Linked DNA regions of Macaca fascicularis. The protein of the gene in region 6 interacts with the protein of the main gene of each other region in a biochemical or structural test. Links are inferred from orthologs where the notes say so. Each region holds a gene or a part of one and is shown on either strand. Other genes may lie near its edges. The genes, in order: MAP3K2, CASP9, PGAM5, SEPTIN4, HTRA4, XIAP and TLE3.

Region 1 (3,500 bases), on a different chromosome or scaffold from region 6:
CATTTGCCACAATTAATAAACCAATACTGAAATATTATTAACCAAGTTCATACTTTGCTTAGATTTCCTCAGTTTTTCCCTAATACCCTTTTTCTGGATCCAGGATCCTAACCAGGATCCCACGCCATACTTAGTCATCATGTCCCCTCAGGCTCCTCTTAGGGGGGATACTTTCTCAAATTTTCCTTGTTTTTGATGACACGTGTTTTTCTGAGGTGTACTGGGGTCAGGTTTTCCCTAATTGAGGGACCAGTAGAATGTCCCTCAATTAGGATTTGTCCCATGTTCTCATAATGGGGGCTGTAAGTTTTTTGGGGGAAGACCACAGGTAAACTGCCATTCTCATCATACGATATTAAAGGCACATACTGTCAACACCATTGTTGATGCTGACCTTGATCACCTGGCTTGAGATAGTGTTTGTCAGGTTCTCCACTGTGAAGTCATTGTCCCCCACCCTTTCCATACTTTGGAAGAAATTTGCCACACACAGCCCACAGTTAAGGAGTAAAGAGTTATGCTCCAGGCTGAGTAGCTACATAAATTTGGAGTTATGCTGCAGAAGAGATTTGTCTCCCCTCTCCCACATATTTATTAAATCATTCATTTACATCACTATGAACATGGATATTTGTTTTATACACTGGGTTATAATCCAGTAATGCTTTATTCTCCTGCTATTTATCAGTTTCAGCCACTGGAGCTTCTTTCCACTGGCTCTGTGTCCCTTTGCCATACCCCCATCATTGTATTCTTGCTTTTGTTTTTGAGCACTTTCTTGCTTTCTGGCACTGGAAGATGCTCCAGGCTCATCTTGTATATTTCCTGCACCAGTCCTAAAATCAGCCATTTCTCAAGGAGGCCTAGTTCCTTTCAGTGGAGAATAGTATTAAAAAACAAGATCATCGGCCAGGTGCAGTGGCACACACATGTAATCCTAGCACTTTGGGAGGCAAAGGCGGGTGGATCGCATGAGCTCAGGAATTCGAGGTCAGCCTAAGCAACGTGGTGAAACCCCATCTCTACAAAAAATACAAAAAAATCAGCTGGGCATGGTAGTGTGAGCCTGTAGTCCCAGCTACTTGGGGGCTGAGGCTGAAGGATCACTTGAGCCCAGAGAGCTGAGGCTGCAGTGAACTGAGTTCATGCCACTGCACTCCCGCCTGGGTGATAAAGTGAGACTCTGTCTCAAAAAAAACAAAAACAAAAAACCAGAACAAAACAAAACAAAAAACCAAGCTATGGGCACTAGGCTAATTTGTTTTTTATTCTCTATTTTCACTCTTACCATTTTAAAAACTCTATTTTTTCTGGGATTATAAATCTAGTTTCTGTCTTTTATAAATCATTTCGCTTCTCATTTTTCTCCACATAACCTTCATTACTTTGGACCTTCTCATTTTTAACTTTTTCTTTACCTATTCTTAAATAAGCCATTTATTTTATTATCTAATTTTAATTATTTTAATTTTAAAATTTTACTTCATTTCTTATTTTTAAGTCTTCCATAACCTTAATCATATTTTATATTACAAAGATATTCATTTTCTTGGTTCTCTTACCCTTTTCTGAAAAAATGATCTCTAAGGAGGAGAGTGAATAGTGGAGAAAAGCTACTTTACAGACTGGAGAGGATAAAGAGACCCCACCCCTATCATGGGGCTTCCGTACCTGTCTTTCTGTTCTCCCAGCAAATTCCCCAGTCTAGTCAATGATGGTTCCCTAAAGCCTCTCTCCAGAGGATAGTCCAGAGTTCATTCTCTGCACACCTTAAGTGTAAACATGCCATGACATTAGTGATCTTCTAAAAAAGCACTGTCTAACATTTCCTACCATCCAATACTTTAAGAAAGACTGTCAAAAAAGCCACCATCTCTAGAATACTTAACCAGTGGAAGGACAACAAAGCCCATTTTTTACTGGCTACAAGCAGGGCTCTGATTGGGGAAGGAACAGTCCAAGGCAGGTCACAGACAGGGGAAGCTGTCTCTGGGGAGGAATCACCAATGTTGAACCAATGCTTACCCAGAAGAAGGGCTAAAGAGAAAATGGGTAGCCAGGCTCCAGCATAAGTTTCTAAAAACTTATTTTGGATGTGTCAAAAGTAAGTTATTAAGGAGACTTTTCAGACATACACAAAGGTAGAGCAGCATGCTCAGCCACCACCCAGCCTCAACATCCATCTGGATGACCCTGCCCCAGCCATACTGCCAACCACTCCTCCTCCCCTCTCTAGGATTTGAAGCACATTCAAGATGTCAGTTTGACATAGTTGGAGTTCATCAGAGCTCAGTTTGGGGTTCTTTTCTCCCCCCCTTCCTTCTTTCCCAAGCTAGTGACATCCATTCCTCCTAGCTCAAATTTGATCTCAAGATAAAGTATGTCATCATAGCTAACTTTTAAGAGCTTTTTAGGTATCAGGCACTACTTTAAGCATATTGCATGCATTAACTCATTTACTCCTTTAGAGAATCCTATGAGCTGGATACTGTTATCTCCATCATTTAAGAAAGAGGAACTGAGAGACTGAGTAACTTGTCCAAGGTCACACAGTGTGGATAAAGCCCGAATCTGAATCAGGCCACCTGGCAGCAGGGCTCCTACTCTTGGCCAGCCTGTCCTAATGCCTATGTAATATGTATGAAACATGATCTCACTTGTATGGTCTCTTAAACTTTACTGATTCTGTGAGCCCCCACAGTAGAGCTACCCATTTGGGGAGACAGGACTGGTGTGATAAAACACTGATGCAGTTCACAAGAAAGCAAGAGAACTGTTTCCCTGTTTCAGAGATAGATGAATTAATGTTAAATGTCTTATCCACATCACTTGTTTCATTCACATTCACAAAGAACTGTCTATTTAAAATAGAAAATACCTCATTACTTACCTTTGATATCTCTATGGACAATCATATTACTATGCAAATAATGGACACCCTCCAGAATCTGACGGGTGTATTTCCTAGTCACATTCTCAGTAAGAGCGCCATATGCTTTTAATTGGTCCTTAATTGAACCCTAGGAGAAAACAACAACAACAACTACTGTATATGGTTTGAAATGAAAACTGCTATTAAATCTTTATTGGTAAAGAGGCCAGGAATTCTCATCTCACTTGTCTAAGCATGTCCTACTTGAATTTTATTTATTTTGTTCTTATTCTGTTTTTAAAGTATTTTATTGACATCTGCTGATTTTCTCAGGAAAAGGAATGGGTATAACTAGAAAGAACATATATGACATTTTAAAGTTTTTTCTTTATATAAGAAAAAACTCAACACTCAAGTTCGAAACATGAGAACATACACAAAAGGAGAACTTCAGATTTTCTCAAGTGTTTTTTAGGGCAGGATAAGGTGCCATCTCTGAGAAAGCTGAATCAGTCTGAAGTGAGGCATAGGTATTTGAATTTTGAAAAAGCTTCCCTAGTGATTCCAATGTACAAGTTTGAGTAATCATCCCTTTAAAAGACAGAAATAAAATGCTTCCTGAGGGACA
Region 2 (3,500 bases), on a different chromosome or scaffold from region 6:
TTTCTGACTTTTGTTTTAATGATGGAAATCTACATTATGCCAAATTTGGCTCATAGTTTTTTTTGGTTTTTTTTTTTTTTTTTTTAGAGACAGGGTCTCACTCTGTCACCCAGGCCGGAGTGCAATAAGGCAAACATGGCTCACTGTAGCCTCGACATCCAGGGCCCAAGCAATCTTCCTGCCTAAACATCCCAAGTAGCTGGGACCATAGGCACACACCACCACACCTGGCTAATGTTTCAAAATTTGTTATAGAGACTGGTCTCAAAGTCCTCGTCTCAAGAGATACTCCCACCTCGGCCTCCCAAACTGTTGGGATTACAGGCATGAACCACATAGATGCTTTTATATGGTTCTCCTTTAAATTCAAATTAGAATTCACATGAGGTGCAACGGGACTGTGGGCTCTGTGCCAGGCTGGGGGCCTGGCTGTGGGGTAGGCCTTGCCCTCTACTCGGAGCTGACCAGGGGACAGACCTAGCTCAATACAATGAGACAGTGCTATGGCAGGGGAGGGACAGAGGCTGCAGGAGCACAAAGGCCAGCTAACCCTGACTTTGGCCAAGAAAGGGGGTGTTTAGGGAAGACCTTCTGTAGGTGGTGACAATAAATTGTAACCAGAAGGATGGATGATTAAGAGTCAGCCAGGTGCCAGGCACGATGGCTCATGCCTGTGATCCCAGCACTTTGGGAGGCAGAGGTGGGAGTATCACTTGAGCCCAATAGTTCAAGACTAGCCTGGGCAATATAGTGAGACCCCCATCTCTAAAACAAAATAAGTAAAAATGAATTTTAAAAACAGAGTTAGCCAGGGGATCAGGTAGAAGAGCAAGCAACAGCCTGGACATCCTGTGAAGGCTGGGCCATGCTGGGGGACTTGGAGCATGTCAGGCTGGGGGAGGTGAAATGGCAGGGGCCAGGTCACCAAAGCCCTTGGAAGCCCTGCTACTGAGTCCTAAGAGTGACAGCAGATATTCAAGTGACAAAGGCCCTCCGCTGTTGAGACTGAGACTGGATGGGGCATGGGAGGAGCACAAGAACAGCTAACCGTCCAGAAAGCAGGTATGCCCGCTCAGCCTGCATTCCTAATTCCCTTGCCCTTTCTGTCTTTCATTTGATTCATACGAGAAAGCGGGAGCGCAGGCTCCAGAGGAAGAGCATTGCTGGACCACACACTATGGACAAGACAGGAGGTGAGGCAGAGCAGGGTTTCTATAGCCCCGAGAGTGGCAGCCTTCCTTGCTTCCTATTACTGCTGTCCTGAGGCAACTGTGCTGGCGGCAGTGGGGTGGGGGGCTCTTATGTGTCACTGGGTACTCCGGGGTGGGAGTGGGGAGCAGTCTGGGTTTTCAGTTATTAAAATGAATCAGTCACTGTACACACACCAATTAGTGCATTAAATATTATTAAAGTTGCCCGGGCACAGTGGCTCATGCCTATAATCCCAGCACTCTGGGAGGCCGAAGTGGGCAGATCACTTGAACCCAGGAGTTCAAGACCAGCCTGGGCAACATGGCAAAACCCTGTCTCTACAAAAAAAAAAAAAGAAAAATCAGCTGGGTGTGGTAGTGGGCAGCTGTAGCCCCAGCTACTCAGGAGGCTGAGGTGGGAGGATCACCTGAGCTTGGGAGTGGGTTCTGTTATTTTCCCCATTTGCTGAGATGTCTAGAGATGAACTGGCCTAGGATTATGTGATAGACAGGTCAGTAGCCGATCCAGGGTTTAATCAAGTGTTCTCAATCACTTGTGGTCAAGTTATGGGCATGGGTTATGACAGTGATTTAATACAGTTCATGTCAAATTATAAATTCCAGGAGACTGAAACTCTGTTTTCCCCTATCCCCAGCACCTAACACACAGCCTGGTATATACAGCTGGTGCTCAGTAAACACCTACTGGATGAATGATGTGACCAGAGGCTGCTCTCCTAGGTAGCCTCCACCCAACTCTGCCAACGTGGAATAGGGATGGGGCAGTTGGATGTGCGCAGGAGAAATACACCACAGGTGCCCATGTCACAGCTGGACAAGCTGGACAGCACTATGGTGTAACAGTGCCTGCTTCTCTGGCAGATCAGGCTGGAGGCAAGGAACTGATATACGTTCTGAATGTCCCAGTCTGTGGAGAGTCTAGGGCAGAGGGGACTCCCTGGGACAGAATTTCTAGTGCTCCCTGATATTCCTGTCATGACCCACAAGCCAGGAATCCCCATGTTTCCCTCTCTTCCCTCTTTTTTATAAGAAAATCAGGTAACACTGTAGTAGGAGTTAAGTTTAAAATCAGAGCATATAGCAAAACTACAAATAATCCAAGTAATTCTTTAAAAAAACAAAACAAAAATAGAGACAGGGTCTCGCTGTGTTGCCTAGGCGGGTCTCGAACTCCTGGCTCAAGCAATTTTCCTGCCTTGGCCTCCCAAACTGTTGGGCATGAGACACTGTGCCCAGCTCAAGTAATCCCTAAACATTCCTCGAACCCCCACAACTACGCTTTTGAAAATTCCAATAATTAAATTCTTTGGTTTCTCCGTGCAGTTTAGCTGTGGCCACCCTTTCTCTGGGATAGTGGAAACGGGGTTTGGTTGATGGAGGTCAGGGGAATGGTGACAAGAAAAATAAAAAGAGGTTTCTCCTCTCTCTTCTGTTTAGTTTCTTTTTTGCCAAGTCTCTGGAATTGAAGCTGCCAAAGTTACACGAGCCCATGATGCCACTGTGCCACGAAACTGAAGACTCCAACCTCTACAGAGCCGACAGAGCGGGGCCTGCTCCAGCCAGGCAGAGGTGCTGCCAAAAACGGACCACGTGTGGTACCCTCTGACTGCCTGGAGAGACCTCGTGGGCTCTGTGAGGGGCAGGCTGGAGAAAGAAGCAGGTGGTGGCTCCCTGTTCATCAGACCCACCCAGTGGGAGGCCAAGGAGCTGCTTACCCCCACCACAGGCCTGGATGAAAAAGAGCTTGGGCTTCCCTCCCAGGCTGGGGCAGCTGGTCCCATTGAAGATGTTCACAATCCTCTCGACCGACACAGGGCATCCATCTGTGCCGTAGACAGCCCCTGGGAACTGCAGGTGGCTGGCCTAGAAGACCAAGAACCCTGGTTACAAAACCAAGAAGTTGGAGTAGGAATCCAACAGCCTGTTCAGAAGTTTTGTGGGGGCCAAGGATTTGGAAGGTCAAAGCCAGGGGCATGAGGCTGATTGAGACAGAGCAGGTTGGTTCTAGAAAGACCCTAGTCAGCATCTATTCCAGGGGTCTCATCTCAAACTCATGTGCCTCTAGGGGCCAGACAGTGTGCCTGGAGAGTGCTGGCTGTGGCCTCTAGACCAGTGGTTCTCAAAGTTTGGCCCCTGCAGCAGCAGCATCGATATGGCTTGGGAACGTGTAAGAAATGCAATTCCCGGGCCCCACCCAGACCTCCTAATCAGCAGTCTGGTCCTCCAGGCCCCTCTGACTGAGGCAGCTCAATGCTGAAAGTGGCTGCTTTAAATCAATTCAGCTCAAAC
Region 3 (4,292 bases), on a different chromosome or scaffold from region 6:
TTCACCAGATGAGGCTCTGGAACTTTACAGCGTGGACACCAGACTCAAGAGGAAACACGCTGTCTTCTAGCACCTTCCTGTAGTTGCTCATGCCTTCTGTCTGTACGAGTCTTTCCCAGCCCACAAGGCCCAATTCACTTCTCCCCAGACATGGCAAGCAAATACAGAACACCTGCTTAAAAGAGAAAGGCTGGGCTCAGTTCCTGGTTCTACTTCAAGTTTTTTTTTTTTGAGACAGAGTCTCCCTCTGTCGCCCAGGCTGGAGTGCAGTGGCACAATCTGGGCTCACTGCAGCCTCCACCTCCTGGGTTCTAGTGATTCTCCTGCCTCAGCCTCCTGAGTAGCTGGGACTACAGGTGTGTGCCACCATGCCTGGTTAATTTTTTTGTATTTTTAGTAAACACAGACTTTCACCATGTTGGCCAGGCTGGTCTCGAACTCCTGACCTCAAGTGATCCGCCCGCCTCAGCCTCTCAAAAAGTGCTGGGATTACAGGTGTGAGCCACTGCACCCAACCTACTTCAAGTTCTTTAACCTTAATCTCTTTCCTTAAAAAGGCCTAAGAAATTCAGAATATTTTACTGATTTTTAAAAAAGAATTTAATGGGCTGGGCATGGTGGCTCATGCCTGTAATCCCAGCACTTTGAGAGGCCGAGGTGGGTGGATCACCTGAGGTCGGGAGTTCAAGACCAGCCTGACCGACATGGAGAAACCCCGTCTCTACTAAAAACATAAAATTAGATGGCGTGGTGGTGCACGCCTGTAGTCCCAGCTACTCGGGAGGCTGAGGCAGGAGCATCGCTTGAACTCAGGAGGCGGAGGTTGCAGTGAGCCAAGATTGCGCCATTGCATTCCAGCCTGGGCAACAAGAGCGAAAATCCATCTCAAACAAAAAAGAAGAAAAGAAAGAAAAAGAATGTAACTCCCATCTAATCATGAGAAAATCTTCAGACAAATCTCAACTGAGGAACCTTCTATAAAACCCCTGACCAGGATGCGTCAAACAGTGATGATCATCGAAACAAGTCTGAGAAATTATCACCACCAAAACGTGCCTGAGGAGGCATGAAGATTGCTTGTCATGTGGGATCCTAGAACAGAACAGCAGGTAAAAGCTGAGAAAATCTCAGTGAAACATGAACCTTAGTAATAATGTATGGGTTACGGCTCATTAATTTTGATATATATACCACGCTTAGTGTATGATGCTAATAATAGAGGAAATAAGGTTAACAAAAGAAAAAAAAGTAATATAAAGTACTTAACACAACCACAGTAGTAAGTATAATTCTGTGCCCCTTTCTCAGAATACTGAGTATAAGGAGCAGTTAGGACTGGGCAAACCATCCTTGCCTCGAGAGCAGTCCTGGCCGACAGAAACAGAATGCCAGCAACATGTGAAAATTATAAATTTTCTAACGGCAACATTAAAAAGAAACAGGTGAATTTCGATCATACTTTTAATTCAATATGCTAAAAATACTATTTCAACACATAACCAATGTTAAAAACCTGCACTTTTTTTTTTTTCCTTTGAGACAGGCTCTGTTGCTTAGGCCAGAGTGAAGTGGCGGGATCTCGGCTCACACTGCAGCCTGGGACCCCTGGACTCAAGGGATCCTCCTGCCTCAGCCTCCCGAGTAGCTGGGACCACATGCGCGCGCCACCTCGCTCGGCTAACTTATTTTGTAATTTTTGTAGACATGGGGGTCTTCCTATGTTGCCCAGGCTGGTTTCAACTTCCTGGGCTCAAGCGATCCTCCGGCCTCGGCCTCCCAAACGCCCGGATTACAGGCGTGAGCTACTGCACCCGGCCCTGCTTAAGTTTATTTATTTTTGCTTGTTTGTTTTTGTTTTTTTGAGACGGAGTCTCACTCTGTCGCCCAGACTGGAGTGCAGTGGCGGGATCTCGGCTCACTGCAAGCTCCACCTCCCGGGTTCACGCCATTCTCCTGCCTCAGCCTCCCGAGTAGCTGGGACTACAGGCGCCGCCACCGCACCCGGCTAATTTTTTTGTATTTTAGTAGAGACGGGGTTTCACCGTGTTAGCCAGGATGGTCTCCATCTCCTGACCTCGTGATCCGCCTGTCTCGGCCTCCCAAAGTGCTGGGATTACAGGCGTGAGCCACTGCGCCCGGCCTGCTTAAGTTTAAATTGACGTAAACTAAGCATTCCCTTCAGGAATCACACGGGCCATATTTCAAACGCTCATTAACCGCACGCGGCTGGCGGGCGCCCTCCTGCAAACGCCCCTGGAGGAGGCCCGGCTTCCACCCCAGCCTCGCCCCGGCCCGCGCTCCGGCGACGGCACCCAGGACGGACTCGCAGGGGCGGAGAGAAGGGCGACGATGAGGCGGAGCTCGGCCCACAGAAGCCGGCGGGAAGGGCCCGCCGCCCCCAGAACCCTCAGCGCAGAGCGGCCCCGGAAGGCGGTTCCTTCGCCGGGGGAAGCGGACGGCGACCCCAGATCCCGACTCGATCGCAACCTTGAACCTGGTCCCGATCCCGATCCCAACGGTAACACCGGCCCTGACCCCCATCCCGACCCCAGGCCCGACCAGCCCCGCGCGCACCTGTCCCAGTTGGGGTCCCAGACGCCGGGGCCCGGCCGCGCGCCCCCCGCCCAGGCCGGCGGCTCAGCCGGGCGTGGCTCCGTGTCCCCGCCCGCGCGCGGCTTCCCTACCGCCACGGCCGAGAAGAGCACGGCGGCCGAGCCCCCTGCCAGCCCGCAGGCCGCCAGCTGCAGCGCCTGCCGGAACGCCATGCCGCCCGCTCCCGCGCCGGCCCGCGCAGGCGCCCACAGCCCCGACGGCGCTCCGCGAGGGACACGCTTCCGCGGGAGGCCGCTTCCGGGAAGCGGGGACGGAAGTCCCGCCTCCTGGGGCGCGGCGGGGCGCTGGGCAGCCTTCAGCGAAGGGGTGTTTTCGCGGAGCCGCCTGCCCCGTCACTCTTCCGTCCCGTCACTGGTGCTCGCGAACGCCGGTGCGCGCAGGTGCGGGCGGAGCTGTGGAGACGCCGGGAGGGCGGTGCGGTGCTTTCCAGAAGGTTCCGCACCGGAAGCCCTGCCCAGGCTCGAGGCTGGGTGCGGGGCGGAGACTCGGAGGAGAACTTGGGGCCCTGGTTTAAGGGAGCTGGGAAACCGCGGCAGGTTTGTTTAAAGGATATGTTTTTGGTGGCAGAACCCGAAATAAATTTTTCCGCCGGCGCCGTTCCTGCGTGTGCGGTTCAAGCGGCGTGAAGTGCGTTCAGGTTCGGCCGGGCTGTTACTTCTGGTCCCGGCCTCCTGCGGGATAGTCCCTCTGTGGCCGGCGCATTTCGCTTAGCAGGGTCCTCAGAGGAACCTCGTTAGAGCCTGGGTTTCCTTCCAGGGGGACCGGCGCTCCCCGTGTGGACCGACCCCACTGCTTACCCATTGCTGGACGCCTGTGTGGACCGACCCCACCGCTTACCCATTGCTGGACGCCTGTGTGGACCGACCCCACCGCTTACCCATTGCTGGACGCTTGCCCTGTCTCAAAAAAAATTAATAACATAAAAAAAGGAAAATTGGGCCCGGCGCAGTGGCTCACACCTGTAATCCCAGCACTTTGGGAGGCCAAGGTGGGCGGATCACCTGAGGTCAGGAGTTCGAGACCAGCCTGACCAACATGGTGAAACTCCCTCACTACTGAAAATACAAAAAAATTAGCCTGGCATGGTGGTGCGCGCTTGTATTCCCCGCTACTCAGGAACCTGAGGTAGGATAATCGCTTGAACCCGGGAGGGAGAGGTTGTAGTGAGCCAGGATCGTGCCTCTGTACTCCAGTCTGGGTGACAGAGTGAGACTCTGAAAAAAACAAAACAAAAAAATTGGCCAGGTTCAGTGGTTCATGTTCGTAATCCCAGCACTTTGGGAAGCTGAGGCGGGTGGATCACCCGAGGTCAGGAATTTGAAACCAGCCTGGCCAACATGGTGAAACCCCGTCTCTACTAAATACAAAAATTAGCCAGGCCTGTAATCCCAGCACTTTGGGAGGCCGAGACGGGCGGATCACGAGGTCGGGAGATCGAGACCATCCTGGCTAACACGGTGAAACCCCGTCTACTAAAAAAATACAAAAAACTAGCCGGGCGCGGTGGCGGGCGCCTGTAGTCCCAGCTACTCGGGAGGCTGAGGCAGGAGAATGGCGTGAACCCGGGAGGCGGAGCTTGCAGTGAGCTGAGATCCGGCCACTGCACTCCAGCCTGGGCGGCAGAGCGAGACTCCGTCTCAAAAAAAAAAAAAAAAAAAAAAAAATTAGCCAGGCATGAT
Region 4 (3,283 bases), on a different chromosome or scaffold from region 6:
CCATTCTCCTGCCTCAGCCTCCCGAGTAGCTGGGACTACAGGCGCCCGCCACCTCGCCCGTCTGTATTTTTAGTAGAGATGGGGTTTCACTGTGTTAGCCAGGAGAAGTGCCCCAAATTTCTAATCCGTTAAGCCAGGACTTTGGTAGCCCCTAAGGTGTGATGGAGACTCTGGACAGAACCACCTGTTGACCTATCCAGGACCCAAATATGCACCAGAGCCAGGGATATTTCTGTTACCAAAGGTACTGTATGTGTGAAAGATGGAGAGAGACCCAGACCCCAGATAATAGAGGCATGATAGATATGATCGTTAAGATGGAGAAGCCAGCCTGGATTCTAAGCAGGGACTTAGAAGGGGAAACGAAGTGGAAAGTTTCCCCACTCTCCCTTCCCTACTAAAAGCCAGAAACCAACATCTTCTCCCATTAGCCTTTCAAAACTGGGTCCCAGGGTCTTGATCTCCAGGAGGTCATAAAAATACACACAGGGACACCAGAAGCCACCTACAGATTTATTAAACTTTATTTCCTCTGAGTCTCTGGGCAGTCAGCAGGGATGTAAGGCGAAGTGGCAGTAGCTGAAGGGGCCTGAGCAGAGCTGGTGCTGGGAGGGGCTGGCATGGACAGGAAGAACAGGAGGAGATTTAAATATCCAGGGCTGAAAGCCAGTTAATAGGTCTCCTTCATCTGTTTTTGTATTTTGTGTAGCATCTCCTGCATCCGCCGCAGCTGGAATAGGCACAGGCATCAAAATGCGGCCTTCTGAAGAGTCCTTTAGTGTTGGGGAAGTGCCCCAAATTTCTAATCCCTTAAGCCAGAACCTTGGTAGCCGTGAGGTGTGATAGAGACTCTGGACAGAACCACCTATTGACCTATCTAGGACCGAAATATGCACCAGAGCCAGGGATCTTTCTATTACCAAACAAAGAGATACCAACGTTGGTGATCAAACAGGGGACCTCCCCTACCCATACTGCTCTCACCTCCTCATCTTTCTCTCGGATAAGCTTCTCAGTTTCTGGATCTGTCCCTGGTGGGACAGCAGGGATGGGGAAGTCGGTACCACTCTCTCGAGTCAGTTTGCTAAGGGGAGAAAAGGGTTGATAAGGCTAGGAGGACTCCAGCACCCACTTAGATTAAGCCCAGGGCCTATAGAAGAACAAAAGTAGGGCTTGGTCTCACCCAAGGCTAGGCTTGGGATCTCCCCCTGCCAGCTTTGTCCTGGCTTCTGGTCATACTTGCGATTGCGTTCCTTTACCACCAGGCGGGTCATGCTCTGGATGCACTGTGCCCGGTAGTTCTCATAATGTGTCTCCCGCGTCACATCCTTCAGGTCCTGCATGTGGGTACGTACCAGCATTGTCCTCAGCTTCACAAAGTCGCAGTGCCCTGGGTTTTCCACTGCATAGCAAGGCTAGGGGTCAGCCAGAGGCATAGGTAGGGGAGAGCCACAGAGGGCAAGGAGATACCCTGGTTACAGGCTCAGTGCTTTACCTTCCACGATGCCCCAGGGGTAGAGTCGACCCCGAACTCGCCGCCCTCTGGCCTCTACTACAGTGTTGCTGCCAATTACTGCAAATGGGATGCTTTCCTGGAAGAGGTTAGGGGTGCCTGTCAGCACCCTCTGTTCTCACCTCTTTCTTTCCACCTGTATCGTCATCTTCTCTGCTTCACTCTAGGAAGCCAGGGTCCTTTCCACCCTGATAGCCTGAATATAGAATTCTACTCCCTTTTTCTACCCAGAAGAAACAAGATGGGAAGGGGATGCCCTAGAGTGGCCCCACCTTTAGGGCTTGGTCCTGCAATTTGAAGTCCTCATCCTCGTCAGAGTCACAGTCTGGGAACTGATAGATCTTGATTCCAAAATGCTCAATCTCCTCCCGGATCTGACAAACAGATGAGGGGCCCACAGTTCTGGGGACCACGTCCTTTCTAGAAGCCCACCTGATCCCCTCCCACCACCAGCTTCCCTCACTTTGCGTTTCTTTCGGTCCACTTCTGGAGGTGTCAGTGTGTCTGCCTTAGCCAGGATAGGCACGATGTTGACCCGCTGATGCAGGGCCTTCATGAATTCAACATCCAATGGCCGGAGCCTGGGGAACAGGAATCTGTGACCACCTGCTAATGGCAGCCCTGCCCCTGGTGCTCTTGGCCTGTTCCCTTGACAGCACCCGGTGGTGCCAGGAGCCTCAGGCTTGGACCATACCCGTGGCCGAAGGGTGAGATGAAGTACAGGCAGCAGTGCACCCTGTTGTCTTGGATGTTCTTTCGGTTCAGGCCACTCTCATCTCGGAAATACTGCTCAAACTGCTGATCAATGTATTCTGCCACAGGCTTCCAGCTGGGGCAGGGACAGACAAGCAGAGAAACTGTGAGAGTGGGAGCCACCTAGTGAGCTCTGGGACTACAGAGAAGTAGTAGCCCACTCTCTGAGCAGTGTTTTTAAGACATTGTTATTCCCTGGCTTACTTTACTAAATCTTTAGGGAAATTCCTGAATGGGATGGGGTGTATCTCACATGTCCTGATACAAAATTAGACTGAGTACTCAGGCAAGTTTAATAAATGCTAGCTTGATGAGAGGGAAAGGGCCCAGGTGATCAAACAAAGCAGTAAGAATAGGCTGGACACGGTGGCTCACCTCTGTAATCCCAGCACTTTGGAAGGCTGAGGCGGGTGGATCACTTAAGATCAGGAGTTTGAGACCACCCTGAACAACATGGTGAAACCCCGTCTCCACTAAAAATACAAAAATTAGCTGGGCGTGGTGGTGTGCACCTGTAGTCCCAGCTACTCGGGAGTCTGAGGCAGGAGAATTGCTTGAACCCAGCAGGTGGAGGTTGCAGTGAGCCAAGATCATACCACTCCAGCCTGGGTGATGCAGCCAGACTGTCTCAAAAAAAAAAAAAAAAAAAAAAGAATAGCAAGGTGGCTGCAGGCAAATACCAACTGGAAGCCAGGGAAACTCTAATTCAGGTTTCCAGTGTAACCTCAGAACCTCTTTGCTCATGTGTTTCTACCCTTTCCTCTACCTCCAAACCCACTCCATCCTTCAAGGCCCTAAGAACCATCTCTTCCATGAAGGCTCCTTTTACTATACCAATACACACTGCTCCCCCCTTGTCTTCACTACAGAGCAAAACAAATAAATAAATTTCCCCCAAGAACCTCAATTTTCATATCCTTTGTTCTTCTATTATCTTGTTTAATCCTCACTGCCCTGACAGGTCGACATTATGCATTATGATCATCATCACTATCATTTCATACATGAAGAAACTAG
Region 5 (4,117 bases), on a different chromosome or scaffold from region 6:
TGAGTATAAATATACTCTTATATGGGCTAAAAGGACCCCATGAATAAATAGCAGGTTCAGTAGTTGAGGGGTAGAATTTAGTAGGTTTGTTTTCAGCGTAAATCAGATAACATATGTGGAGGTCACAGCATTTTGGAAATTGAGTGTCCCCAAGTGAGCTTTGTTTATAAACTTTAGACATGTTGGAAGTGGACAGGTTTGTTAAATCTTGTCTGCCAGCATCGTTTTCTTCCTTTGTTCCTTTTCCCTCTCTGTGTTATTGCCTGCGGCAGCCAGTCCTTTATACTAGATAGAGTTCAGATAAAGCAATGTTTGGCAAAAACATACTGTTTGACCTCCTCCCCCTCTGCTTATGAAGGGGTAGCATGATTCTGTGTTTTAAAGCAGTGATGTTTCAGCTGTGAAATGCACTGGCAGTAAGCACTAGGCTGAGTGCATGGAAACTGTTACGCTTCTCATTTTATGTGATCTCCTAATTGGTATGTAGCAAAACTTTTCTAAAACTGTTTTGTGGCTTGTTTTGTAATAAAACCATGTGAAATACTGAAATATGGCCATGTGTTTTTCTAGTACCTTCTGACCACGGGTGGGTGAGCTTTCTTTTTTTTTTTTTGAGACAGAGTCTTGCTCTGTCGCCCAAGCTGGAGTGCAGTGGCACGATCCTGGCTCACTGCAAGCTCCGCCTCCTGGGTTCACGCCATTCTCCTGCCCCAGCCTCCCGAGTAGCTGGGACTACAGGCGCCCGCCACTGCGCCCGGCTCATTTTTTGTATTTTTAGTAGAGACGGGGTTTCACCGTGGTCTCGATCTCCTGACCTTGTGATCCGCCCGCCTCGGCCTCCCAAAGTGCTGGGATTACAGGCGTGAGCCACCGCGCCCGGCCAAAACTGTAGTCGGCAGGATTCGAACCTGCGCGGGGAAACCCCAATGGATTTCAAGTCCATCGCCTTAACCACTCGGCCACGACTACCCGCCTATATAAATATTAAAAGTGCTCCAGGTGAGGATCGAACTCACAACCTCGGCATTGCTCCGCTTGCACTGTCATATAAGTACCGCGATCAGTCTGCCCCCATTGTCTGTTTTAGGGATTTCAGGAGGTAGGTTCCTCCTCCGGGTAGGGCTAGAGACCTTCCCCTCATTGCCTGGGGGAGAACCTGGCTCCGGGGAGCGGACAGGGGCGGGTGGTAGGGGATGTACGGGTGTGTATGTGGAGAGGTATGCCAGGCTCTGCCCCTTAAAGTTTGGGGGCCGGCGGAGGCGGCGCCATGGCCGGGAGAAAGTGTCTCTCATTTAGGAGCGTTTGCAGGTCCAGAGTGAAGTCACTGAAGAGTGGAAGCGAGGAAGGAAGGAGCAGGATGATTAGACCTCAGCTGCGGCCCGCGGGGCTGGGACGATGCCTCCTGCCAGGGCTGCTGTTGCTCCTGGTGCCGGTCCTCTGGGCCGGGGCTGAGAGACTACATACCCAGCTGGCCTGCCCCGCGGTCTGCCAGCCCACGCGCTGCCCCGCGCTGCCCACCTGCTCGCTGGGGACCACGCCGGTGCTCGACCTGTGCCGCTGTTGCCGCGTCTGCCCCGCGGCCGAGGGTCAAGTCTGCGGCGGGGCGCAGGGACAGCCGTGCGCCCCGGGGCTGCAGTGCCTCAAGCCGCTGCGCCCCGGGCTCCCCAGCACCTGCGGTTGCCCGACGAAGGGAGTGGCCGTGTGCGGCAGCGACAGGCGCACCTACCCTAGCCTGTGTGCGCTCCGGACCGAAAACCGGGCCGCGCGCCGCCTGGGCAATATCTCGGCCGTGCCTGTGCAGTGGGGGGACTGCGGGGATACAGGTGAGCCGCGGGGGGCGCGCACCCTGGGGACACTTTCTAACTCTGGAGGAGCGTAAAGGAACAAGACCTCACTGAGATCGCATAGTTCGCGCGGGGTCCTCCTGCGTCATTTGCCTCCTGGATTCGACCCCTCTCTGTTCCTGATTTCCTTTCCTCCATAACAGGGGCTCTTTACCTTCTGCTACGTGGATTCTCCCTCACCATGCACCTTTTGAACACTGACTTGCCTTTAACATTTTCCCAACTAGGATAGCAGGTCTGGTTCGCTCGAGGCGTACTCTTGACCCAGTATTTCTTCATAGGGAGCAGAAGGGCAGGCCCGCTCAGGAGGAATTACAACTTCATCGCCGCGGTGGTGGAGAAGGTGGCGCCATCGGTGGTTCACATGCAGCTGTGGGGCAGGTAAAGGAGGAGGAGGAAGACCTCCACTGTCCCAGCTAATGGTTTCTGCGTGCCTACCTACTCCAGACCCTTCGCAAGCGTCATTTAATCCTAAAACACCAGTGAGGAAACTGAGACATAAAGAGGTTGAATAACCTGTTCAAGGTCATTTAACCAAAGAGCAGAGGCACAAGGATAACTTCCAAATCCGAGCTCCCCCTGCCCACTTAGGTGGCTGGTGCTTTTTCTCCGTCCTGCCACAGACAAAATTTAAGGTCAGATGTAAGAGCTAGTAGGCATTTTCTTTTCTTTTTTTGAGACAAGGTCTTGCTCTGTCGCCAAGGCTGAAATGCAATGACAGATCATGGCTCACTGCAGCTCCATCTACCAGGCTCAAGTAATCCTCCCACCTCAGCCTCTGGAGTAACTGGGACTATAGGCAGGTGCCACCACACCCAGCTAATATTTGTATTTTTTGGAGAGACAAGGTATTTTTGTATTGCCCAGGCTGGTCTCAAACTCTTGGACCCAAACGATCTGCCACCTTAGCCTCCCAAGGTGCTGGGATTACGGGTGTGAGCCACCACATCCAGCTTAGTAGGCATTTTGGTTGTGATCTTGCTCAGCCCCCACTTTGGAGGCAAGGAAATCCAGACCCAGAGAGCAGGGTTAATTTGTCCTATGTTACGAGGCCAGTTGGTGGTGGAAACTAAGCCAGAATCAGAGCCCTTTGATTCTCTCCTGCCTGGGTCCTTGACACTGTGGTACGAGGCTCTTACTTTTGCCTCTAGTATTAGGATTGGGTTCAGCCTTTTCGCAGCAGAGAACCCATGGGCTGCTACACTAACCAACTCTGAAGAGGCAGTGTCCCTGGAAAAGGAGAGCTGGAGCCAGCTCTCAACCATGCTCACAAGAGATGGCTGGGGCCCTGTGGGTGCCAAGTCCATTGATACATGGAGAAAATTTACGCATAGCCAGGGAAAAGTGAAATGTCTGAGAAAACTGTGATGGAAGTCTGGGCATGGTGGCTCACGCCTGTAATCCCAGCACTTTGGAAGGCCGAGGCGTGTGTATCACCTGAGGTCAGGCGTTCGAGACCAGCCTGGCCAACATGGTGAAACCCTGTCTCTACGAAAAATACAAAAATTAGTCAGGCATGGTGGTGCATGCCTGTAGTCTCAGCTACTCGGGAGGCTGAGGCAGGAAAATTGCTTGAACCCGGGAGGTGGTTGCAGTGAGCCGAGATTGTACCACTGCACTCCAGCCTGGGCAACAGAACGAGATTCTGTCTCAAAAAAAGAAAAAAGAAATAAAGAAAAGAAAACTGTGATGGAGGTATGTTTAATAAGAGTGAGGTTCCCGTGACTCTCAGATGATATGGCTGTATCCCCTAACTTTCTTGCCCTCTGTCTATACTATTGTCTTGTGGAGACAGGTTACTTCACGGCAGGATGCCTGTTCCTGTGTACAGTGGCTCTGGGTTCATAGTGTCTGAGGATGGGCTCATTATTACCAATGCCCACGTTGTCAGGAACCAGCAGTGGATTGAGGTGGTGCTCCAGAATGGGGCCCGTTATGAAGCCGTTGTCAAGGATATTGACCTTAAATTGGATCTTGCGGTGATTAAGATTGAACCGAATGTGAGTATTTCAGGGCTGAGTCAGAGTCTGCATATTTGGAGATTTTTATCTATTTGCTGGTATTTTCTGCCCCACTACACTCTCACACCACATCTTTTCTGTCAAATATATGCTTTTCTCTGGTTTCTTTCTGTTCTTTACTCCTTCTTATTTGCTTCAGTGCCTTTCTATATATCCCTTACCTTTTCTTTTCTCTTTTCTTTTCTTCTCTTTTCTTTTCTTTCTTCTTTCTTTTTGAAACAGTTTCCCTCTGTCGCCCATGCTGGAGTGCAG
Region 6 (3,500 bases):
AGAGTCCAGCACTTGCTAACTCTCTTGGGGTTAGGTGAGCATAGTCTGGCCAGTTCTGAAAGGACTTTAATCTAGCTTCTTCACTATACATGGCAGGGTTCCTCGGGTATATGGTGTCTGATATATCTACAACCTGCCCAGTTCTCAAAAGATAGTCTGCATGTGTCTCAGATGGCCTGTCTAAGGCAAAATGATTTCTGCTTCCCAGATAGTTTTCGACTTTGTACTGACCATTCTGGATACCAGAATTTGTAGACTGCGTGGCACTATTTTCAAAATAAAAGCCATTGATAAATCTGCAATTTGGGGATACTTTCCTGTGTCTTCCAACTGCTGAGTCTCCATATTGCCATCTATCTACAGCTGCATGACAACTAAAGCACCGCACGGTATCTCCTTCACCAGTATAAAGAAACCCTGCTCGTGCCAGTGTTGATGCTGAAACAGGACTACTACTTGGAAAATCTGCAAAAGTTTTTAATCTATTAAACTCTTCTACAAATTCTTCTTCCTTATTGATGTCTGCAGGTACACAAGTTTTAGATCCTTCAAAACTGTTAAAAGTCATCTTCTCTTGAAAATAGGACTTGTCCACCTTTTCTAAAAAGAGAACATTATATTAGGAAATCCAAAATGTGAAACACAAGCAATAGACTTTTGTTATAGGAGCTAACAAATTATCACTTATGACATAAAAATAACTACACAACTGCTAAGAAACATTCTAATTCTAAATACTAGGGTTTAACATTACATCATTCAAGTCATAAAGTAAAATCTAGCATTTTTGTTTTCTCTTTTTGAGGAAAGTAATATTTAAGCAGGCAGCATAAAACTAATAATTTTTAAATGCTTATTTTACATAAATATGTAAACTGTGATGCAGAATATATTATAATTATTAACCATGTCAAATCATTAATTAGGAAAAACATGAAAGAAGCATAAAATATGCAGATTATTAAAGTCTGTGCGTAATTGTTATAATGAATCATTATATATTCAAGGCATCAAAGTTCAGTTTTTACAAATTAAAAAATGTTCAGAATGTTAATGAATTAATTTTAATATTTCTTTGCTTAGCAAAATATGTTTTAATCATAATATTGGTTCCAATGTGTTCTTTAAGAGTATGAAATATTTCTGATTTTCATGCATGAACCAGATCCCCTTTTTTGTTGTAACTGGATAATTACAGATATATATGTAATACTGCCCTCTAGAGAGTGGCTCAGGAGAAACTCTAAGTACCTGCAAACCTTAATTGCTTTTTTTTTTTTTTTTTTTGCCCATGACATACATGTGCCCTGCAGTTACTTTTGCTATTAACTGCCCTTGGTAGCCAGGCGCAGTGGCTCATGCCTGTAATCCCAGCACTTTGGGAGGCCGAGGCGGGCGGATCACGAGGTCAGGAGATTGAGACCATCCTGGCTAACAGGGTGAAACCCCGTCTCACCTAAAAATACAAAAAATTAGCCGGGCATGGTTGTGGGCGCCTGTAGTCCCAGCTGCTGGGGAGGCTGAGGCAGGAGAATGGCGTGAACCCAGGAGGCCGAGCTTGCAGTGAGCCGAGATCGCAACACTGCACTCCATCCTGGGCGGCAGAGCGAGACTCCGCCTCAAAAAAAAAAAAAAAAAAAAAAAAAAAAAAAAAAAAAAAAAACTTCCCCTTGGTCAAGTAACAATCTGTTCAAATGGAAGATAAGTATTGTTGCAGTCTTATTAGAGCTGCCAAATTACAGCTGTGTAATTTTAACCCAGATAAAATACTAAAGAGAACCCATTAGGTTATGAGAAGGATAGCAAGATAATTTATCTTCCAAACCTGGACACTTCTCAAAGTGAAAAATCACACTAGCAATAATCACACTGGGACAACAGGCATAAATCAGGGTTGCCCCAGGCAAACTAGAGCATATGGTAACCCTAGCTATGAGGCAAACCTGGTTCTCCAGAATCTCCCACATTGCCTGATAATGTGCTCAATATAAACTTGTCAAAGGCAAAATAATGGTAACAAGGACTCTGTCTCTATATTATATGTGCATTAATTGATTTTTTTTTTTTTTTTTTGAGATGGAGTTTTGCTCTTGTTGCCCCGGCTGGAGTGCAATAGTGTGATCTTGGCTCACTGCAACCTCTGCCTCCTGGGTTCAAGCGATTCTCCTGCCTCAACCTCTCAAGTAGCTGGGATTACAGACATGCACCACCATGCCCAGCTAATTTTGTATTTTTTAGCAGAGACCGGGTTTCTCCAGGTTGGTCAGGTTGGTCTTGAACTCCCGACCTCAGGTGATCCCCTGCCTCGGCCTCCCAAAATGCTGGGATTACAGGCATGAGCCAAAAGGTCGAGCCATTGATTTCTTGAGAAGAATTAGCCAGCTCTTTTGCCTTTATGTTGACACAATATGTCTTAGAATTTAATCTCTTTTGGAGTAATGTTCAACACAAAGCAAGTTGGCAATGGACTTGTCTTTCCTGGCCATGTCAACTTATAGTGGTATTAACTCATACCTCAACAGCTGAGTTATATCTGCATAAAACTTTTGGAATAGTCTCCATGACTTTTGATGAATTATCATTTCCTAGATGTCTGAAAACATTCCAACATTAGCTTCAGGGCCCTTTGTTGAATCAGCATAATAAACCGAATGACAAAAATCAAGATTCAAAGAAACCAAGGCTGATCAAACCCCTTGTTCTACTCTTTTCCCTCTTCTCACTCTGCACTTGACTAGTCTTAAGAAAAAAACCAGTCGGTCATAGTGGCTCACGCCTGTAATCCCAGCACTTTGGGAAGCCAAGGTGGGCAAATCACCTGAGGTCAGGAGTTCGAGACCAGCTAGACCAACATGGTGAAACCGTCTCTACTAAAAAACACAAAATTAGCCAGGCGTGGTGGCACATGCCTGTAATCCCAGCTACTTGGGAGGCTGAGGCAGGAGAATCACTTGAACCCAGGAGGCGGAGGTTGCAGTGAGCGGAGATCGCACCATTGCATTCCAGCCTGGGCAACAAGAGCGAAACTCTTGTCTCAAAAAAATAAATAAATAAATAAAATAAAAGTAAAAAACCAAAGCTACCTGATAGGCTAATGAGATAACATTTAATAGGGGTAAGTGTAAAGTCTTACATCTGGTTTTTTAAAAATATCTGGTGCATAGGCCGGGTGCGGTGACTCATGCCTATAATCTCAGCACTTTGGGAGGCCAAGGCAGCCGGATAACTTGAGGTCAGGAGTTTGAGACCAGCCTGGCCAACATGGTGAAACCCCTATCTCTACTAAAAATACAAAAATTAGCCAGGCGTGGTGGCAGGTACCTGTAATCCCAGCTACTCGGGAGGCTGAGACAGAAGAATCCCTTGAACCCGGGCAGCGGAGGTTGCAGTGAGCCAAGATCATGTCACTGCACTCCATCCTGGGCAACAGAGTGAGGCTCCATCTCAAAAAAAGAAAGAAAGAAAAAAAAAAGGGCCGGGTGCAATGGCTCATGCCTATA
Region 7 (2,894 bases), on a different chromosome or scaffold from region 6:
GGACCTCCCTCTCGAGCTAAATGACCCCTCTGTGTGGAGAGAGGCCAGCTGTCCTTTCTAGTCATAAAGACTGGGCTGTATGCTGAGATTGTCATTCCTCTTTTTTTTTAATGTTAGATTCCCTTTCTTGTATGAAATGACAGCAGGCAATTGTGCTGATTGAGAATGACTTTGACAAAATAAGGAGTTGGAAATCATGTTAATCTCCAGTGCCCTGAGCGCTTTCGCTAATGGGTGCACGAAATCCAAGCGCCTGGGTACCGCCCCTGGGAATGGGCACCAGCATTCTCCTCTTCCCTCCCAGCCCCCAACTCCCTCCCTGGGGACAATGACCTGCATTTCTGGGTCTGCCCCTTCTGCAAATGCTTCCTTCTGAATCATCCAAAAACACGCCTTTGTGAACTAGAGATGGAAGATCTCCTTGTCCCACCTAAACATGTTAAGTTTAAAATAAAATGGTGCAGGTTTCCAGGGTCCAGATGCTCAAAGACACTTTGCAGTTTCGCTTCAAGTTCATTACATTTAATTTTTTTCCAAAAAAGTTTTGCATTGACAGCTGTACAATACTTTGGTGTTAACCTGTGGTCTTCCTTCCCCTCAGTGAACTCTGCCCTGTCCATCTGTCCAGAGGAAGTCTTAGCTCCTACCCCACACCCTCTCTGGCGCTTGGATGGGAGGTGACGCAGTGTGGGATTGTGAAACCCCCGCTGCGCTGTTGGGTATCTGGGGGGCGGGGGGAGCAGCGCGTGGGAATGCTGTGAGATAAGAAGAGCTCACATGGACGGGAAATGGCCCAGGCTCCAGAATGTGAGAGCGACACTGGCCTGGCTGTTTTCCTGCGGGGGGGACTGACAAACTGGGGGTTGAGGCAATTAAGACGCAACAATCAAACCAACCTTTAAATAGTAACTTTTAAAAATATAAAAACAGTTCAGTACAATGACTTTTCATTCTTTTTTTCTTCAGGAATAACTTTCTTCTACCCTCACCCTCCCTTCTGGCTAGAGCCTTAGCAAGAGGTGGCAGACGGACATCTGAGGCCCAGAGAGACTCCGGATGCCCCATGCGCCCAGCCTTGGAGAGGCACAGGGTGTGGCGCCAGCCTCCACATCCCATGCCCGGTGCGCTCAGCTGGGGAGCAACCTCACTGAAGGTGGGTGGCGTTCCCTGGAGCCCCTCCCTCCTCCTCAGCAGACGGAATCACGCATTACAAAATAATCCATAAAAATGCGGTATAAAAATTATCTTCGATATGCTACATCCATGGAGAGCCCGCCACCAGGACTCACAGCGGCCTTTAGCTTTTCTTTAAAAGAAGAATAAGAAAAAAAGACCAAAAGGAAAAGAAACAAAAAAACAACCCAAATCCTAACACCTCAGAACATGGTACCGAAAGGTGGCACCTGCCAGAGGCGATAGTCTACCTAACCTGTTTGGGCCACGAGAGACTGCAATCTGCAAGAAATATCCACAGTGTGCCAGATCTGTGTCCCCCTCTCCCAGCCCCCAACCCCCACTGCCCTGCCCAGGGCGGAGGTGAGGGAGATCCTCCTTTCAGACTCACAACCCTGTAGGTTTAAACACTTTCCCCCCTCTAAGGGGAGAGGAAGAGGCTGTAGGCAGGAAGGGGGAGAAGGCATTTTATAAAAGGACATCACTTCTAATTCTTTTTATTCAAATTAAAAAAAAAAAAAAAAAGCACCCACATCAGTTGCTATTTTTCTCTGGTAGCTCCCTGAGCTGAGTTGCTATGCTGTCTTCTAACTTTTTGTCCTTTTTAGGCTGTGTCCCAAGATTCAGAAGAGCTGGAGAGGGAGTTCCTTTGAACTTCCATTGCTCATAACAATAACTAAGTGTGCACCAAAGAGAAAGACCAGGCTGAGGAGGAGAGAGGGAAAGACCAAGAAAGAGAGACACAGAGAGGGCAAGAGGCAGCCAGAGTGCAAGAGACCACAGAAAGCTCTGTTTCTGCAGGCGTCTGCCCGAACAGGCCCCCATCTCAGTGCCTTCCATCCCTCAGTCTGGCCGGCTGGTGCTCAGTCCAGATGCCCAGACCCGTGTGGACGGACAGGCATTCCAGCAGGTACCTTGCGGCCAACCTGGTTGCCTTTTCCACAATCTAAGACTTTTCTCCTTATTCTTCAATTGGTTCCTCTCCCTGTCTCCTCTTCCCAGGTGAGAACATCTGTTTATTTAAAAAAAAAAAAAAAAAAAAGCCACCACCACGAGTGGATTACAAATACAGCAGGCGAAACACACGGTCAGAGTTTCCGGTGGGAAGGGGGCCTCTCCCACTGGTCAGTCCGCAATAGGAGAGTCTGTTATTTACATTTTTCACAAAACTTGTGCACTGCACAATCGGCAAAAAGAGACCCCCTCCCCCAGCACAACAATGTGGTCCACGCCAGCATCCCCGACCCAAGGTGGGGCACAGGGCAAAAGAAAGGGGAAGAACAAAGAGACTCATGAGCGGGTCTGTGGGGAACCGGAGCCATAAGCCTCCAATAAATCTATTTGTAGCAACTGCCAGCATTGTTCAGGGGGAGGAGGAGGAGCAGAACCCATCCGAGTCTGTGAGACACATCAATCTAGGCCCAGAAGTCCAGATCGTGATGGGGCACGCGCCCTCTCAGCCGGCCGGAGCGCAGCCCCGAACGCGCGGCTGCCTGCGGCCCATCCTCCGCCATCCTCAGGGCCCCTCGCCTGGGGGTCTCCCTGTCAGAGCCGAGTCGGTTTCTCCCAGAGTTTGACAGCCCTGCTGGAGTTCTTGTTTAGTAGATGACCTCATAAACTGTGGCCTTCTTGTCACCAGAGCCTGTTACAATGTATTTGTCATCCGCCGAAATGTCACAACTCAAGACAGACGAGGATTCTTTAGACTGGAGGAGGAAGAC

Evidence for each region.
Region 1: of the proteins of XIAP (region 6) and MAP3K2, one has a biochemical effect on the other in vitro, tested with the Homo sapiens proteins (2 studies listed by BioGRID, with this or other methods). The link is inferred for Macaca fascicularis from reciprocal best matches to the Homo sapiens genes XIAP and MAP3K2.
Region 2: the proteins of XIAP (region 6) and CASP9 form a complex in vitro, tested with the Homo sapiens proteins (12 studies listed by BioGRID and IntAct, with this or other methods). The link is inferred for Macaca fascicularis from reciprocal best matches to the Homo sapiens genes XIAP and CASP9.
Region 3: the proteins of XIAP (region 6) and PGAM5 form a complex in vitro, tested with the Homo sapiens proteins (2 studies listed by BioGRID, with this or other methods). The link is inferred for Macaca fascicularis from reciprocal best matches to the Homo sapiens genes XIAP and PGAM5.
Region 4: the proteins of XIAP (region 6) and SEPTIN4 form a complex in vitro, tested with the Homo sapiens proteins (4 studies listed by BioGRID, with this or other methods). The link is inferred for Macaca fascicularis from reciprocal best matches to the Homo sapiens genes XIAP and SEPTIN4.
Region 5: the proteins of XIAP (region 6) and HTRA4 form a complex in vitro, tested with the Homo sapiens proteins (2 studies listed by BioGRID and IntAct, with this or other methods). The link is inferred for Macaca fascicularis from reciprocal best matches to the Homo sapiens genes XIAP and HTRA4.
Region 7: of the proteins of XIAP (region 6) and TLE3, one has a biochemical effect on the other in vitro, tested with the Homo sapiens proteins (2 studies listed by BioGRID). The link is inferred for Macaca fascicularis from reciprocal best matches to the Homo sapiens genes XIAP and TLE3.

Annotation. Positions count from the first base shown.
Region 1 is NC_088386.1:4,230,352-4,233,851, reverse strand, and holds part of MAP3K2 (mitogen-activated protein kinase kinase kinase 2), read right to left. Parts: intron 3,021-3,500; coding exon 2,891-3,020; intron 1,770-2,890; coding exon of another isoform or gene 1,723-1,769; exon of another isoform or gene 1,589-1,722; intron 1-1,588. UniProt on the Homo sapiens protein: Component of a protein kinase signal transduction cascade. Regulates the JNK and ERK5 pathways by phosphorylating and activating MAP2K5 and MAP2K7. Plays a role in caveolae kiss-and-run dynamics.
Region 2 is NC_088375.1:219,615,784-219,619,283, reverse strand, and holds part of CASP9 (caspase-9), read right to left. Parts: intron 3,075-3,500; coding exon 2,927-3,074; intron 1-2,926. UniProt on the Homo sapiens protein: Involved in the activation cascade of caspases responsible for apoptosis execution. Binding of caspase-9 to Apaf-1 leads to activation of the protease which then cleaves and activates effector caspases caspase-3 (CASP3) or caspase-7 (CASP7).
Region 3 is NC_088385.1:139,825,960-139,830,251, reverse strand, and holds the start of PGAM5 (serine/threonine-protein phosphatase PGAM5, mitochondrial), read right to left. Parts: upstream 2,801-4,292; 5' UTR 2,766-2,800; coding exon 2,575-2,765; intron 1-2,574. UniProt on the Homo sapiens protein: Mitochondrial serine/threonine phosphatase that dephosphorylates various substrates and thus plays a role in different biological processes including cellular senescence or mitophagy. Modulates cellular senescence by regulating mitochondrial dynamics.
Region 4 is NC_088390.1:48,192,036-48,195,318, reverse strand, and holds the end of SEPTIN4 (septin-4), read right to left. Parts: intron 2,343-3,283; coding exon 2,208-2,342; intron 2,095-2,207; coding exon 1,977-2,094; intron 1,888-1,976; coding exon 1,786-1,887; intron 1,593-1,785; coding exon 1,496-1,592; intron 1,403-1,495; coding exon 1,240-1,402; exon of another isoform or gene 1,085-1,239; coding exon 985-1,084; intron 731-984; coding exon 671-730; 3' UTR 501-670; downstream 1-500. UniProt on the Homo sapiens protein: Filament-forming cytoskeletal GTPase. Pro-apoptotic protein involved in LGR5-positive intestinal stem cell and Paneth cell expansion in the intestines, via its interaction with XIAP. May also play a role in the regulation of cell fate in the intestine.
Region 5 is NC_088382.1:42,378,548-42,382,664, forward strand, and holds the start of HTRA4 (serine protease HTRA4), read left to right. Parts: upstream 1-1,317; 5' UTR 1,318-1,357; coding exon 1,358-1,823; intron 1,824-2,125; coding exon 2,126-2,225; intron 2,226-3,639; coding exon 3,640-3,844; intron 3,845-4,117. UniProt on the Homo sapiens protein: Serine protease.
Region 6 is NC_088395.1:130,112,987-130,116,486, reverse strand, and holds part of XIAP (E3 ubiquitin-protein ligase XIAP), read right to left. Parts: intron 601-3,500; 5' UTR 569-600; coding exon 1-568.
Region 7 is NC_088381.1:46,846,964-46,849,857, forward strand, and holds the end of TLE3 (transducin-like enhancer protein 3), read right to left. Parts: intron 2,880-2,894; coding exon 2,772-2,879; 3' UTR 501-2,771; downstream 1-500. UniProt on the Homo sapiens protein: Transcriptional corepressor that binds to a number of transcription factors. Inhibits the transcriptional activation mediated by CTNNB1 and TCF family members in Wnt signaling.